3 linked regions of the Arabidopsis thaliana genome follow. The protein of the gene in region 1 purifies or fractionates together with the protein of each later gene. This does not show direct contact. Each region holds a gene or a part of one and is shown on either strand. Other genes may lie near its edges.

Region 1 (5,116 bases):
AAGGAGGCTTCTTTATTGTCGTTGCTTCGTTCCTCGAATCCTACATTGTTGTCTTTGCTCGAAGAAGCAGATTTTGATTTTTTCTTCTTCTTGGGGGTTTTCTTAGGCTTGCTTCTTCTCTCCTTGACATTGACATTGCTGACAATGCTGTTGCTGTTATCGACGTTATCATTATCAGGCCGTGTTCCTTTGGTGCAATTGCAGCCCATAATTCTCCACGGCTTCGTGATTCCGTCAATGCTCCACAGTTTCCTGACCGGAATCAGGAAACTGTATGTTTTGATTAGCTTCCTAATCTTTCCTTTTTTCTTCTTCTCCACTGAAAATGAAATCTTCCCACCCACACCACCAACAAAGAACAAAGATTTGAGCTTTTGATCTTTAGACCTTGTTGGAACTTGTTGGATTAGACGCTAATCTTAAAATCAAATGGGAGACAAAAAAAAAAGAGAGGAGCTTTTTCTGTAGATGTAACGAAACTGGAAAATTTGAGGTCAGCAAGACTGATCTCGAAATATGGATTAAATATGTGTCTCAATGTTTTTGTATGAAGAAAACGAATTGAAATCAAAGAATCAAAGGAAGACTTGTGGGTTAGAGAGAAAGAGATATGCTGAGATTAATGGAGAGAGAGAGAGAGAGAGAGAGAGAGATTTGGAATTGTGAGTGATTCCTGAAATTACGAAGAGCCTATCAAGAATATGAGAGATTTTAGGGAAATGAGGTTTCATAGTCTTTCTATTTTAGGAAATTTTAATACAGCAAACAGAAATAACGAAAATGCTTCAGAGGAGAAACAATGACGAAGCAGCCTGGTTTCTATCTGTCTCTCGAGCAAGTGTTGAACATAACAGAGATCTCCCATTAATGGACACCCAAGACTTGACTCTTTTCTTCTTCTCTTTTGAGTTCAGTGTTCAAAATTAGGTTCTGTTGCTCAGACGCTACGTGGCATCGTGCTGGAGTTCCATGGGCTCCAAGTCAAACGTATCTTAAAATGAGGCTCATAATTAAATCAATTTCAGACATATTTAAAATTCGTAAGACACCGTTGACAAAAGTGAACAATAGTTGGAAGATCAAAAATACCAATAATAAAAATAAACCATCCTTACAAAATCTGGATTGCAAACTCCTGTTATATAGTAAATCATAATTCTTAGTTTTAAGTCTGCTACAAAACAAATGAAAAAGAGTTCTAAAGCACAAGAAGATAGAACTAATAGCCTCCTTTGAGATCGTTGACGACATCGTAGGGGATTGGAGTGACAGTCTCCAAGGTCATTCCTTCGACCATGAATCCTGGTTTGGGTCCTTTAGGCTGTCTCTTGGTGCTGATGGTCTCACCATTGGCTTTGGCTGCAGCCTTGAGCTCATCGTTTTTCTTCTTCCTCAGCTTGAACTCCTCGGCACATCTTGACTGCTGCACATGCTCCACACGAACATGAATCCTCTTCCTTATGATCCTGTTCCCAATCTGAAACAACCCCACCATCATATGTCAGTCATAATACCCAATATAAGTAGTACTAGCAAAAATGTTTGTGTTCTGGTCATAGGCTAATCAGCATTACACAATAACATCTCTAAGACACTTATAGAAACAAGATTAATATACGAATGTTGGTGGTCATTTAAAGCAAAACTAGAGCAATGCGATAGTCATGAAACCAAACATACTAGCAGTTCAATGGAGAAGTAAAACTAGATGCTTAGCTAGAACTGTGATGCAAAAAGGGCCAAATTGATACAACGCAATGCATGCTAAGGCTAAAGACTAAACGAGACCTAAGCAATCAAACTTCAAATCTGAAACAGGATCAAGAACCACACTACTGCATAATAGAAGATAAGATCTTTGAGCCAAAACTAACAATCTGAGCTAAATTGGAGCACAGTAGAAGGTTTACATTCTACAAACCTAATACTCAATCACATATTTCAACATCAAATCAACAGATCAACAATCCAAATAGCACAACAAGCTCAAATCCTAATTCAAGGACACAAAAGTTTAAGGGAAGTGAGAGATCATCAGACCTGTTTGTTGACTTCAACACCGACGGCGCGCTTGGTGACGTTCCAGATACGACCAGTACGACCATGGTAGAACTTGTGAGGCATACCCTTGTGGATCGCACCATTCACCTTCACATCGACGTAATCGCCGACCTTGAAGGTCCTCAGGTAAGTCGATAGAGGAATGTAACCCTTCTTCCTGAAAGGCCTCGCGAACAGATCCCTCGTTCTCGCTCGAACTCCATGTCCAGCCGGCATTTTTCCTCCGCTTTGGTGGTTGCGAAATGTGATTAGGGTTTATATATATTCTCTTTGAAATTAGGGTTTGCTCTTAACGGGCCTGTTGGGTCAGAAATTTGGGCTGATTTGTATGTAATACCCATTTGATTAGTTTTTTCTTGTAATCTTAACCCTTGTACTGTCAAACTTACGTGTTATAGCCCCAAACTAACATAAAGTATCAGTTACAACCCAATATCAATGGTTCTAGAATCTCTTTCGTTTGGACTTTGGAGATGACAAGAAGTTAATATTATTATTTCAGAATCAGAAATAATGACTTCTTATCAGAGAGAAGCTACATAAACAATCCATGAACAAAAATTTTACAGCGTCAGTAAAAAGGAGGCGTGTAAAGAGGAAAGAAAGGAGATGAATTGAATATTATTCTTTAAGAAGAAACTCTCATTAAAGGACCTGAATATCAGGGAATCTCTATATAAGCTTCTTCTTCTCAAAGTACTGCTTCAAGTAGAGTACCTGGAAACCAGAGACAGCAATGCAAACACCTAGTGACATTATACTGTACCAAGCCACCCGCGAGTTCGTTTTCTCACTCATTGTCCTCATGTCTGCTTCTCTGCAATTACCATTTTGATAATGAGAGTCAGCAAAGAAGGCAAGAGCAGTTCATGCAGCTGAAGATGACTTTACCTGTTTCTTAGGTAGAGTATATTTTCATGGATGGCTTCGACTGCGCCTTCGAGTTTCCTGATCTCCAGCTCCACACCCTTAAGCAATTGTCATAGAGTAACAAATTTTAGAAATATTTTGAAGCAAAATTATAAGCAATACCACTCTCTGAACTGTAAAATCTCTTGAAAGCTAACCTCGATCTTCTCTTTCTTAGCAATAGAGGCCCAATCCTTAGCAGCGATTCCAGTTCTCCAGTCAATGTTGATGCTAACATTTTTGTTTCCGTGACTCTTTTCATCTGCCCAAAAGCACGCCAAGTAGTTCCCTGATTCTTGGGTTGTAAATGCAAATTGGCCATGCGTTACGTTTTCCATATTGTGCAGATTGTTGCCATATGGGGATGTCACCTGCACCATAATGATTCTCAAAACTCAGAGCCAAGAATAAAAAGGAACAGAGGTTACCATTCAGAAACATTGTATTCCTTTTTTCAAGTCGACTTCAAAGACTGCTCTCAATCCAAAGGACACTATCTTAAACAATCCATCAAACTATCTGGAACTAGCACATAGCAATGATTACTAAATACCAAATGATACTTGCTCAATAAAAGAAACTCCCTTGTTCGTAATAATTATCATTGTTCCCAAACATACACATCAAAAACACAGACTTCATTAAAAGACCACATAAAGTTTCAATTTTTCTTATCTCAATCTCACAGCTAATTACTGATATTACGGCAAAAAAAAAAGGGTATTCACAGGGATTAAGCTATACACAAGCATCTGAGCATTTATACAAATCCGAAAATCATCATAACAAACAATCAAAGAAAGACATGCATGATCATAATTTTCCAAATAAGGAAACTTGGATCGAGAATTAATACATGCCTTTCTAATTCCTAAACGTGACTCATGAATCAGTTGAAATTATGGATCGAGTAACACAAAATGCAGATTCAAATCACTGAACAAGCAAGATGATAGGAACAGAAAATCGAAGACACTTACCTTGACGGATATAGTGGGCATGACCTCGTGATCCTCGGAGATGATGAGGTAATCAGCCAAAACGACGACATTGCTCTGGATTTCTTCAGATACACACTTTGTTCCGGTGGGAGGCACATCTAGCCATACAGCCTCACCGACCGGAATCATCACCGGAACCAGAAACAAGAGAAGGAACGCCGTCGGGAATTCACGGCGCATCTTAGCAGTCATCTTCATCGACGAGATTTCAAATTTTCCTATTGTATTCGTCGATCGTTGTGTTGTGGTGGCCAGATCTTTTGCTCCGAAGTGTTTTTTTTTGTTTGTTCATCTTAATTCCTTTTTGTTTGGGAAGCTTTGATTGGGCTTTGATGAGACCAACCCATGGGCTTGATAATTGAGATGAGGTGATAGCATTGGGTCCAATAAAGATCTATATAAATAATTAATCACTTTTCATTTAAACAACACTTTGTATTTGCAACTAGTCGCCCATCATCTCTGAACCTCGCTCTCTAATCTCATTTCCATTTGGTTGTTTTTTGAATACTTTATCTGAATAAACGTGCACTTTGGAGTCATAAAGGCAAGATTTGGCACAGTCTTTGAGACTTTTTTTTTTTTTGGTAGAGTTGTGCAGTTCCTCCTGTTTTAATAAGACAAATTGACAAACTTAAACTATTACATAAGATTGTTTGACAAAAAAAAAAACTATTGCATAAGATTAAAACATCTTTAATAATAGTATGGCCAGGCTAACTAAGTAGTATTAGTTTAGATTAAGTGTTTTTTTAATTGCATCTCTTCTTAGATACAACTCGTCATGTCATTGTTTGGTTATGTTTTAATAATTTCATAAACTTATCCTTTAACGGAAGTGGTAAGCCTATTGCAAAGTCAGCTCAAAAGTCGAGCATTAAAAACATATGAATTCCCAAGTCGTATTTTTACATTAATTATCATCATATTTAGCTGGGGTCCTAAAATGTACTAGTTTTTATTTCCTATGAAATTGGGTTTTAATTACCAAAAAAAAAAGTTTAAATAAAGAATTTGGCCCTTATGGTCGTATAACGATCAAATCTACTATTCTCAAGGAGAGAAAAAGGGCAAAACAAGAGAGAACATAATTAGTTGTTATTGCTTTCGTTTCAAAAGAATGCAAAAACTCTCAAGCCGTGGAT
Region 2 (5,923 bases), on another chromosome or scaffold:
CAGAAGTGGACTTCCATCTGAATTACTCACACCAGATCTATTGTGAACTATAAGTGTCAGAAGATTATATGTGACAACAAAGAACCCAAAACCCAAGAGAAACAGAAGCAAGCCTGATGCTTTTCCCATTTGTTTATTCTCAAATCAAGCTAAATTACAAAGCAAAGAACTTAATGGTGATTCCACTACTGCCTTCAAGCTTTAGCAGCATAAATACATGGCAGTGGATCCTTGGAGCTCAAAAATTCATACCTGTAAACAAAAATGATGCAAGTTGACAAATTGAGAACACAGCCATCAAAAAGGTCTCGACTTAGTGAGAATTCAACGATTAAAATCGGGTAAAGCTCCAGAGATGCATAATTTTGGGCACAATGAATAGATCAATTAGAGTGTGGAATTCCAGAAAAGTAAAAGATCTGAAGGAAGAAGCAGAAACGTACAATAATCAGAAGCGAATCTCGGAGTGTGGCGTAAGAATTTGAAGCTTACAGATTCGTAGAGAGAGTCCTAAGAGGGAGAAGCAAGGGAAGTGTCGCCGGAGAAGAATAAGAAAGAGATCGGAGGAGTAATTAATACGAAGCGGAGTTGACTAACGGTGCGTCATTAACGAATTAATTATTAATAACAGTCGTCGAAAATGATTTGACAAAATGTGTGTCTTTGGATCGTGCCAATCAAAACCAAAGAATTCTCCTGATGGCTTTGAATATAATTTCAGGAAAAAAATATAGGAAGTGCAAGTGTTGTGGCATACCACGTTTAAGAAAAAAACATGGAATATTAAAGAAGAAAAACCTAATACGTGAATCGAAGTTAGCACACATAATTAACATGCTTTAGAAATTAGTATGGGCAATAATACTGCTTTTTTTTTTGGTAAGTTGGGTAATAATACAACTTGAGATTTGGTTTGCGACGTTCAATCTGATTTGATTATATGAACTATCTATTTCTATATGTCTTCATATTATTTCGTGTGTTTTGGTGGAAACGTGCCACTCGCCAGGATCTGATCGTAGCTGTCATTTTTACGTTAAAGAGATATTTGTCTTGGTTCATTGAACTCTTCTTGACGGTGGTACCTTTCCACGCCTTACATTTCCATCAATACGCGTTAGTAAAATCTTCAATAACATAGTGACGTTTCCTTCCGCAACAACGGTAGCAACAAAATAAAAAGGGACATCCTCACCATATAAAACATAGCCTGGTTCGAAGGAGTCAAATCTCCCTCCCATACAAAATTTATTCCATATAACAAAAACCTTATCGTCGAACAGATAATATTTCCCCTTGCTCCTCTCTAATTTTATGGGGAAATGATTTCATCAACATCTTTTTTATAAAAGAAATCTGAAACTGCAAAAAAAATGGAGAAAAAAACAAAAGCCGAAGCTTAATGACTGCGGGATTTGGTGGTACTTAGGCACCTCCAGATCCATACTTCTTGCCGAAGACGATTAACTGCAGCTTGTCGTAGCCAGCAAGCACACCAGCACCTGCAACGGCACGCAGGATGTTGGCACCCGCACCCTTGAACAGAGACTTGGCTCCTTCCTTCTTCACGATCTGTGAGAACGCATCAAATGAGCTCTTGTACTTCACCGCTTCACCTGATGTCATCATCATTCTTCTTCTAACCGTGTCAATCGGGTACGACGCAAGACCCGCACCATTGGTGATGAGCCATCCAAGAGCAAAACTAGCGAAGAAACTGTCCTGAAATATCCAGCAAGGAAAGAAATAACAACATTAGAATCAGGATCCCTGATTTCTTAAGCTGTCACCTTACAGATATATAAGAATAGAGCTCAAACAAACCTGCAGGTCTCCAGTGAGGAGGACAGGCTTCACAGAGTCGTACAGTCCAAAGTAGAGACCACGGTAGACAATGATACCAGCACACGAGATGTTGAAACCACGGTAAAGTCCAGCAATACCATCTGACTTGAGGGTCTTCTTGTAGACATCAACAAGACCATTGAACTGCCTTTCACCTCCTCCCTTCTTGGCAGACTTGGAGTCATTGGCAAGACGGGTACGTGCATAGTCAAGAGAGTACACAAAGAGAAGGGAAGAGGCACCAGCAGCACCTCCAGATGCCAAGTTACCAGCAAACCACTTCCAGTAGCCATCCTTGTCTTTCTTGAAGTTGAAAAGCCTCTTGAAGTAATCTTTGAATGCAAAGTTCAAGGCCTAGCAAGTGAGAGATAGATCAGTAACCAATACATCATATATAACTAAGACATTTTAAAAAAGCAAAGAAGTGAAACTAAACCAACCTGAGTGGGGAAGTAACGGATAACATTAGCGGTGTTTCCTCTCCACAACGAACCAATACCTTCATCCCTAATTGTCCTGCCGAAACAGTCACGAATACCCTTGTATGGCTCAGTAAGCCTTCCAGCCTTAAGCATCTCATCCTGGTTTTGAATCAAAAGCTTGACACGCTCAATGGGAGCAGCAGCAGTCTTTGACACAGCAGCAGAAACACCACCCATCATGAAATCAATAGCAAAGTTAGTAAATCCCTTCTCTCCTGGAGCTTGGACAAACACAGGAGAAGTAGTAGTTGCAATCTGAGATGCAGCCACAAGAGGATATTGAAATGCAGCATTGGAGTAGTTTCCGTAAGCTGCATGTTTCTGGTATGTAGCAGGCCTTTTGGAAGCCGAAGCATAACCACGAATGTCCTGAGAAACACTCGAGCTCAAGAGTTGGCCAGAAACCTTCTGAAGAATCGTGGGGTGCTGAGTCTGTTCAACCATTTTAACCTCTACAAAATTAAACAACCCGTAGTGTAAGAAATGGAATATGCTATAAAGTGCAGTAAAAGCAATTGTGCATCTCCAGTGGAATAGAACACTTATCCACCATTAAGCATAAGAGAGGCTACATGTAGAAACGATGCAATCAGAAACTAAACCATGAACACATTCAGACGCAGAAAATTTAGGTTAAACAGATCCATACAACAGTGTAACTTAATGGCGGAAAATAAGAGTAACAGAGCCGAATAATCCAGGATCTCGATACATTCACACTCCACACGAGATCTACACTACATTCAATCTAGGATTACGCAGAGAAACCATGAGATCATCAAGACGAAACGAATCATTTTACCTTGTTGATGATATATAAGACTGTGAAGCAGATCAATAGAATCAAATGAAGAACAGAGATAAACAACGAGATTTAAAGCGATAGAGATCTCAGAGTAACCAGAATTACCTAAGAAAATCGATGGCAATGCGAAATTGAGGGAGCGAGATTCTTCGCCCTTCGTTGTCGGAGCTGAGCGAAGAAGAAGAAATGAGAGAATTCTCTTTGTGGGGAAGAGGCGAGTTTTGACACGAGCCTTTTATTGGCTCCAGAAATAGGGTCACACTAGAAAGAATCAAGTGTAACGCACTATTCTATACACTCGGGGACTGTAGGACCGTTAGATCATCGAGATTGAAATTGTGAGCCGTTGATTGTAATTGCTAAAATGAATAATATAATTATGGAAGTATACGACTGCGTTATCGGCCGTAGATCATGCCACCTATTTGGCGCCGGAAATCTGGAATGTTATTGGCCATTGACGGGTTTTTGTAGTCAACTGTCTACAGGGTAACGTTTCAAATATTTCTTAGTTTATATTTTGTTTTGGTCAAAGTGCTTTAATCTTTAATATTTGTTTTGACCAACAGTATATTTACAAAAAAAAATGGTGTTTTGGAAAAAAAAAAAAAAAAGAACAAAAACACAATATCAGTCCACCAGTGTTACGTTCCTCGCCTCCTCCTCCGTCGGCTAGTTGTACAAAATTTTAGTGGATCGCTATAATGGTCATCTTCAGGGTGTCATATGTTTTGAGTCAGAATTTCGAATGTCGAAGTGATTCAGTAATGGTTGGGAAGGCTTGTGATGCTGCCTCATCCCAGTCCAAATGTATTTGCCTTGACTCTTGAAGAGCTCTAAATCCCACGTCTTCTATCTAGCTCTAAAGTATGCTATGTCACTTTGGTTGTGCTTCACCTTCTTTGTTTTCAGCTCATGTTTGTTCATCTTCACATAAAGGCATGTTGAAAATGGAAAGGTGCAAGATCAGTCAATATGTTCATCTTCACATAAAGGCATGTTTAAGGCAAGGTGATTGTATCTCTCCTTATCTCTTTATTTTGGTAATGGAGGTGTTATCCAGAATGTTGGACAGTGGGCTGTTGGAGGGCAAGTTTTCTGCTCATCCTTTGTGTATCACTCCTCGCCTAACTCATCTAGCTTTCGCAGATGATTTATTGGTTTTCTCAGATGGTTCTCAGCACTCTCTCCTTGGTATTAGTGGTATACTGCAAACTTTCCATTCCTTTTCCGGTTTGGACATGAACCCTTCAAAGTCTGAGCTGTTTTTTGGAGGTTATGGGGATTCTGAAGCTGCTGTTATTGCTGACTTGATTGGGATTCGAATAGGTGTTTTTCCCTCTCGGTATCTTGGCTTGCCGCTGAACCCGACTAAGCTTTCTCTTGCCACACTTCAACCTTTTATTCAAAAGATTACCGAGCAGCTTAACTCCTGGACAACCAAGTTTCTCTCTTATGCTGGGAAAATCCGGTTAATAGTATCTGTTGTTTATGGGAAAGTGAACTTCTGGAGTCAAGTCTTTGTTCTACCAAAGGGTTTTTATAAGAAAATTGACAATCTCTGCTCTGCTTTTTTGTGGAAAAATACTACTTCGTCTGCAAGAGGTGCAAGAGTTGCTTGGAAGGACATTTGTAAGACAAAAGAGGAGGGTGGGTTAGGTATTCGATCTCTTGAGGAATTTGCTACTGTTTTCAGGTTGAAACAGGTTTGGCACCTCTTTACTAGAAGGGGCTCATTGTGGGTTATGTGGTTGGACCATAACATCTTCGGAAGAAGGAACTATTGGTTGATGGATAGCACACCACGTCTATCTTGGAACATTAGGAAGATGTTGGAAGTAAAATCTGTGTTCCAGAGATTGATTAAATGTCAGATGCGAGACGGTATGAAAGCCTCTTTCTGGTTTGATTATTGGACAAGCCTTGGTCCCCTTATTGAGCTTTTTGGTCAGTTGGGCCCAAGAGAGCTTCGGATCAGTAGAAATGCTAGCGTTTGGGAAGCTACACATGAAGGTCAATGGCATTTTCCCAATGCGAGATCTCACCAAGCTGAGCAGTTGCAGATTTGCTTGTCCTCGGTTGCCCCGCCTTCTCCTTTAAGAGGTGCTGATTGGTACCAATGGAAGCAGCCCACAGGTACTTTTTCTGAAACATTCTCTTCGAAAGGAACTTGGATGCAAATTAGACAAATTTCTCCTCATGTGGCTTGGCATAAAGCTGTCTGGTTTAAGGAATCTGTCCCAAGGTTTTCATTTATCCTTTGGATGGCTTCCCATGAAAGGTTGACAACGAGAGATAGGCTTTTACAGTGGGGTATGAATGTACATGGTTCTTGTGTTCTGTGTGATTCTGGCCTTGATTCCCATGATCACTTGTTCTTCAAATGTGAGTTTTCTAGATCACTTTGGATTTCGCTCGCTGGAAGGATTTCGCCGAATCCTCCACTCTCTTTACCCTTGGCTTCTATGTGGGTTCTTGGTGTACATTCTTCTCCGCCGCACTATGCAAGTAAGATCTTAAAACTTCTTCTTCAAACCGCTGTTTATATGATTTGGAAAGAGCGCAACCGCAGAGATTTCTCAGCAGATGCTACCTCTCTCTCCGCTACAAAAATTCTCGTTGATCGCACAATGCGTAACCGTCTCATCTCCTTCTCGCCGGAGGAATCAGTTACCACTATCTCTCTCCTTGGATTCTACTTTGGTTGTATTAGTACCCCACTATAGGTGTGGCAAAGCTCATATTTATGTATGTATGGTGTTCCATTAGTCTCTCTTCACAAGAGCTCGGT
Region 3 (6,316 bases), on another chromosome or scaffold:
AGAACCTCCTTCCATTTGAGACATCATTAATGCAAAATTTACTGCTCCCTGCAAATAAAAATTAAAAGACTATTGATATTAATACGGTGGGAAAAAGATTCTTCATTCTATATAACATCAGGTCAAATTATTCAACAAGTTAGTTGATTCATAACTCTTCCAGTGCTTACGCCACATATATTCAGTAAAGTCCTTTCATAGTTTAGTATGTTGCAAGTATCAAGAGTGCACCACACTAACCTGAGGATCTGTACGGAGTATGGTTTGCAGAAGAAACAGGTAATCAGGTGTGTACCCAACCTGAAGTCACAATATGAAACAATGGTAATTCATGAGACAACAGAACTTTAGGGTAAAAATAATAGAAGAGGTTATACTATAGATCTTATTGCTTACCTGCTTTGAGTAAATCAGTATTTTGTCAAACTCCCTTCTTTCTGCAAAAGCTGCTACAACTTTTGGAGTCGCCCGAGCTTTGATGTATATTTTCAGAGCGAGATCATTATCCACAGTCTGGAACAGAAAGGTTTATCGTCACAACACACCATAGGAGACATATCACACATTTTGAATAAAATCGTCCATTTCAAGATTACCTTCACAAGGTCTCCAAGTTCTTCACTGCATTCTAGTTTATCCTCTGCCAACCAGTTTTCCAGGAGGTTCTTCTTGTTTTGGTTCACAACCAGCCGAGATAGTTCCAGTGACTCATATGAATTGAGTTTCCCTCTAGTCAAAAGAGTCCCAAAATACTGTAACAATGGAGGAGTTTGTCCAGCTTGTACAGGAACACTCTGCAAAATTATAGAGTTGAAAAATTGGTGTTACCAACATTTCATCATAAATAAACATGTTTACACATAGTTGCTTGGATATGAAATAGACACCTGGAATTTGGCCACTGTATCAGGTGTCCTTAGAATTCCTTGAGGAGATTCAGCAGCAAGCTCAGCAGCCTCCTTGTACTTTGTTTGAGCGAACAACTCCTGGAACCGCTGGACAACCTACAACATCCGAGCAGAATATGAGAAACTTCACAATACCAAATGACATTTTTTTTCTTCAAGCTGCCATTTAACAACTATATAATTACTTCACCGAGACAACAGATCCATGATAAACATCGCATACCAGATTTTCTGCACCTGGGAGGTTTCCTCTTTTAGCAAGATTGACAGCAAGCTCCAAATTGTTCAACTGTGATACAAAAGCATAGATTTCTTAGCATGACATGATGAAAAGGGTAGGTTATAACGGGAAAATAGCATAAAAGATTAGCATACTTGGCCACTAATAAAAGGTATAATGGTAGCCTCGTTTACTGTAGCCAAAAGAACTTGTCCTCGCCTATTAATGGCATAGAAACCCCCAACTGAGGAAGCTTCAGAAGTCAAGAAAATTGGGTCTGGACTAATCCGATTTCTGTAGATAGCAGAAGCAGTCTCTAGATCGTACACAAACAACAGGCCAAGTTTGGTGATAACATATATCAAGTTAAATTTGTGAGAGACCTGTCAGGAAAATGAGAAATTAGTGCCAGAAATTGTCACTAACTACTTACACATATAACTGAAATTCTAATGCAATAGCAAACCTGCATGGCAACAGGAAAATCATCAGCAAAATCAGGGGGAAAAAAGAGATCTGCTTGTTTTTTTGTAAATGATGGTTTTCCTGCAAAAAAATCGCCAACCTTTAAAGATCAGATGAATACAACCTAGAAAACGTAACCAATTATATTAAATAACAGTGAAGATATAGTTTTGCGTCGGGGAGCTAACCAGGTTGGGCACCAAGCTCAATGACATGCAACTTTGATGTTATCTGCCCAGCATTAAAGCTCTTGCTTGCAAATGATATAAGAATAGAAGGATTCTCATTCCCAGGAACCTAATATTAATAGTGTTGCAAGTCAAACTACAGTTCAAGATTAGACCATAGATGAACTCACCAAAGAACAAAGACGTTACCTTAAACTGCGCAAACGATGCAGCATGTGCCTCAAGGGCCTGACTCCGCTGTTGATCCACAGAGAAAAGCTGCATATTTCCTTTTACCAATTGTTGTCTCTACAGAAAACAGATAATAATGACAAGATCAGTCAAGAATCTACAACATGAAAGCAGTTTTGATGTCTTTTTTTGACCTAATATGTGGCGCAGTAAACTTACCTCAGGAGAGCCAGGAGCAATTCCAATTAAAACCAACCACTTCTCATTAGGAGAGCACTTATAGTTTATAATTTGATTGTTGGCCAAATTGGCTGTTCTATCAAACATCTTAACTGGCTCAGAATCACCTATAAAACCCGAAGGAAAATTAGAAACGAAAACACAAGATATGAAGAAAATGACAGTAGGCTGAAATATACAACCTTCAATTGACCAATGATAGACGGAATTCTGTGTGACCAGCCCCAACATCTTTGGTGTAATCCACTTCCAAAAGACAACCTGTAAAAACATGAAACATTATTATCCAAAAAAAAACCCGACTGAAAAATTCAGAGTTATACGAAGTGTATAGCAGGAACGATAATGGAGTTCAAATATATTTGCATCAACACTCACCTGCTCAGGCATCTGATGTGATTTCAACTTTGCTTTGGCTTCAATGTTAAATATCTGTAGATGATCCTGAGTAGTTCCTGGAACTTGAGCTACATAAATATTGAAGTAAAAAGTGAACATCAAGATAAGTGGATTATGAACTACGAATTCGAGGAAACCGTTATGGGTTTTAGATCAAAGGAAAAAATCAAGTACCTTTCAAGGCAAGGATCTTCGAGTTTGGGTTCATAAGAGCAGAGTCTGCAGTAATAGGCCTCCTAAGAGGCTGCATCGGCATATTCATATCTATAATTACAACACTGTTTTGCGGTGACGTCTCTCGTACACAGATATACTTGTCAGACTCCATAGTAACATTTGTAAACGTGATGAATTGCTGATTGATCCCGATGCTCGGAAGCTGGAAAAATCAAGATGAAGCGTTACGTCAAATAGTTCATTTATTTAGTTATGAGATCCGAGTACATAAGCACATTGCTACAGACAACAACTTGAAATTCGGCATTGATATATTAACGAAACACAGATCTGAGCATAGTTAGAGAAATCTGATCAGAAACATGCATTCCCAAACAAGCGATCCGGAAAAACTAGAGAGTAACACAACGATCGAGCAGAATTCAGATCAGTAGGAAACTGGAATCAATCAATCAAGAGACTGAACAGAGCTTAATCGTAGAAAATCACGGTCGATTCCAGGAGATACACATCTAAATATTCAAAGATAAGAGTGAAGAGTAAGGAGAACTCACCGTCAGGACCTCCTTCATCGTGATGGGGGCGTTGGCAGCCGCCATGTTTGACCTCAGATCACAGCAAGAGTAAATCCGGGGACGGAATCAAATATACGGCTGAGAAGTCCTGACCGCCAATGGCCAGGAGATAGAACCGAGACGAGAGAAAGACTGGAGAAGAAATGAAATCGCTGCCAGATCTGAAGCAAGTGAACGAGAAAGGTGATGGAAAGAGAAAGAAAATTGAGAAAAGAAGAATAACAAATATATATGGGTAAGTAATGACGAACAGCGATCCAATTAGAGTCTTACATTTATAACCAGGTCCGGCCCATATCGGTCCTTACTGGGCTCTAAGCATCCGAATTTCTAATGAGACGACACGTGAAATATTTTAATTGGTGCTTTTAAATGAAGGTACCTTAGGTGAAACAACAATAAATGACTTAATAATTAAGATTTGATCCAAGAAAAAAACTTAATAATTAAGAATGGAAGAAGTGTCATGACTTTTAATAATTTTTTTTAAAAAACTTAATAATTAAAGATTTGATACAAGAAAAAAAAAACTTAATAATTAAGAATGGAAGAAGTGTCATGACTTAATAATTAGAAACAAAACTTAATTAATCTGATCCAAAAGAAGAAGGAATATTATGTCATAGAGTATCACTGATGATTGCAGGTTGCAATTGTATGTTGCATCAAGTCATCCGTCTTGGTTCCATTCAGTTTTCTGTGATGAAAGAGTCATTTCCCCTGGTTGAATTGGTTTTTTTTTTGTTATATGGCTCTGTTGTTTTGTATAGGTTATTGTTGTTATTAGCTTATAGTGGCTTAGTGTGTGGAGATTTGTTTCTCCCTGTGTAATTGCTTCTGTTCTTTGTGTTGGTACATGTTTCCAATCTATCAATTCAAATCCAGTTGAGAAAGATTAAGAAAAAAAATGGAAGAAAATCTCCCAATTTTTATACATAATAAAATGAGATGAATTGATAATCAATTAGATTTAGTTAGTAAAGTTTAATTTTACCGATGAGATCTCAGACGACCAAAACACGAAAATAAAATAAAAAGAAAGATCTCAGAATCGCGTCTTTCTTCTTCTTCTTCGTCTTCTTCCTCCGAAACTTTTTTTTGTTTTTCAAAGTGGTGGAGCTAACCATGAAATCGACTCACCATCACAGAGCTCCACTAATATCTGCTTCTTCCTCATCTTCATCTTCTTCCCAAAACCATTCATTCGTCTCTAGGCTCCTCCTTCTCCTTACTCTACTTCCAGTTTCCCTTGCTTGTCTCGCCTTTATCCTCCAATGGCGAGGCGGTGGTCTCGCCGATCCTGCCTCTGCTTCTGTTCGTTCCTCTACGTCGGTTCCTGGCGGCTCCGATCTCAATCACGAGGTCTTTCCCGGCATGGAGACTGTTTCATCTGTCTCCCCAAAGTCTCACCAATCCTCCTCCGACTGCTCAAATCTAGCTCGCAGCTCTTCTCCTTCTTTTCCTTACTATGCTGATTGGAAGTTTGGTGTTGATACTAGCTTAAAGCCTAAGGTTACTACTTTCAATTCCCCTGATTTCAAGTCTTTGGATCGATCTACACTTCCAAATTCCTTTTTTTTTTCTTAAATCTTACTACAATGTCTAATCTGAAATATCAAGTTGTTCTTTTTTTATTGGATTATAGAGATTTGAGAAATACCAAAGTTCATTTTTTGATCAGATCTGTCTTTGTAAAGTCACCTCACTTTTTGTGCTCCATGTTGTATATGATTCTTGACATTGTTACTGTTTACAGATATGTATCACGACTAGCACATCAGCTGGATTGGATCAGATTCTACCATGGATGTTCTACCATAAGGTTCTAGGCGTCTCAACATTCTTCCTTTTCGTTGAAGGGAAAGCTGCTACTCCGAGTATTTCTAAAGTGCTCGAGTCTATTCCTGTGAGTTGAACTACCTCTCTTCGCGTCCACTGTTTATTTTGTTTTGGCTGTATATCTCTAGCTCTTTAGTCCTGTAGGTATAAATTTGTATTTAAGGTATGCAGTTTTCGATAAATGTAGTCCCATGTCTCTTGCAGGGTGTTAAAGTAATATACAGGACGAAAGAGCTTGAGGAGAAGCAAGCGAAGAGGTTAGTTAGTTATCCCATTGCATATTTGCGACAAAGCTATAGCTCTTCAAGGCACTAAACACATGTTTTGTTGTATATTCTGAAATTGTAGCATTGTTTTGTTGTATTTTCTACTACTGATCATTTTACTGTCATTCTTTTTTGTTTTGTTTCATCAGCCGGATTTGGAATGAGACCTGGCTTTCGTCTTTCTTTTATAAGCCCTGCAATTATGAGTTATTTGTCAAACAATCTCTCAACATGGAAATGGCTATTGTCATGGCTAGGGTAAGTATTTCTTTTAGACCTTATTTGGTTCAGTTTTGACTCATGTCTCATGTTACATTCTCATTTTTCTTGTTCTTACTAAATATCAGGATGCGGGCATGGATTGGATACTTCATCTTGACACTGATGAGCTGATATACCCAGCAGGTGCTCGTGAGTACTCACTAAGACGGTTGCTGCTTGATGTTCCTCCAAATGTGGATATGGTTATATTTCCAAATTACGTGAGTGATATCTCATTCACACTTCTTGCATTGCTTATTTTCAGCTAGTTTTGTGAGTCTAAAGTTTCTTTTATGATCTGGCCTTTGCTATGAATAATGCTTTTGGATTTTGTTGTTTAGGAAAGCAGCGTAGAAAGAGATGATATCAAGGATCCTTTTACAGAGGTATAATTCAGTTTATTACTGTCTTTACGTAAGAGAGTAGGTTTATTAATATTTGTTTGTTATGTTAGTATTACTTCTGAGATATGTGTGGTGCAAGCAGGTGTCAATGTTCAAGAAGAATTATGATCATCTTCCAAAAGATACATATTTTGGAATGTACAAAGAAGCAACACGAAATAATCCAAATTACTTTTTGACTTATGGTAACGGCAAATCAGTTG

Evidence for each region. Proteins that work in one complex are often made in the same cells at the same time.
Region 2: the proteins of AT1G09590 (region 1) and AAC2 fractionate together in Arabidopsis thaliana (co-fractionation; one large-scale study listed by BioGRID). This does not show direct contact.
Region 3: the proteins of AT1G09590 (region 1) and AT3G08530 fractionate together in Arabidopsis thaliana (co-fractionation; one large-scale study listed by BioGRID). This does not show direct contact.

Annotation. Positions count from the first base shown.
Region 1 is NC_003070.9:3,103,710-3,108,825, reverse strand, and holds AT1G09590 (Translation protein SH3-like family protein), read right to left. Parts: upstream 2,460-5,116; 5' UTR 2,278-2,459; coding exon 2,041-2,277; intron 1,478-2,040; coding exon 1,220-1,477; 3' UTR 1,025-1,219; downstream 1-1,024. Other genes in the region: AT1G09600 (Protein kinase superfamily protein), read right to left, coding at 1-209; AT1G09580 (emp24/gp25L/p24 family/GOLD family protein), read right to left, coding at 2,734-2,878, 2,953-3,029, 3,129-3,341, 3,951-4,169.
Region 2 is NC_003076.8:4,332,882-4,338,804, reverse strand, and holds AAC2 (ADP/ATP carrier 2), read right to left. Parts: upstream 3,534-5,923; 5' UTR 3,238-3,533; intron 3,211-3,237; exon of another isoform or gene 3,130-3,210; intron 2,780-3,129; 5' UTR 2,772-2,779; coding exon 2,286-2,771; intron 2,200-2,285; coding exon 1,825-2,199; intron 1,723-1,824; coding exon 1,426-1,722; 3' UTR 1,111-1,425; downstream 1-1,110. Other genes in the region: AT5G13500 (Hyp O-arabinosyltransferase-like protein), read right to left, coding at 1-129. UniProt on the Arabidopsis thaliana protein: ADP:ATP antiporter that mediates import of ADP into the mitochondrial matrix for ATP synthesis, and export of ATP out to fuel the cell.
Region 3 is NC_003074.8:2,592,045-2,598,360, forward strand, and holds the start of AT3G08530 (Clathrin, heavy chain), read right to left. Parts: upstream 3,611-6,316; 5' UTR 3,368-3,610; coding exon 3,323-3,367; intron 2,971-3,322; coding exon 2,766-2,970; intron 2,660-2,765; coding exon 2,571-2,659; intron 2,454-2,570; coding exon 2,375-2,453; intron 2,300-2,374; coding exon 2,172-2,299; intron 2,070-2,171; coding exon 1,971-2,069; intron 1,891-1,970; coding exon 1,782-1,890; intron 1,675-1,781; coding exon 1,595-1,674; intron 1,512-1,594; coding exon 1,284-1,511; intron 1,198-1,283; coding exon 1,132-1,197; intron 1,005-1,131; coding exon 888-1,004; intron 795-887; coding exon 597-794; intron 514-596; coding exon 397-513; intron 301-396; coding exon 241-300; intron 49-240; coding exon 1-48. Other genes in the region: KOB1 (elongation defective 1 protein / ELD1 protein), read left to right, coding at 4,469-4,855, 5,100-5,249, 5,387-5,439, 5,598-5,706, 5,796-5,930, 6,051-6,095, 6,196-6,316.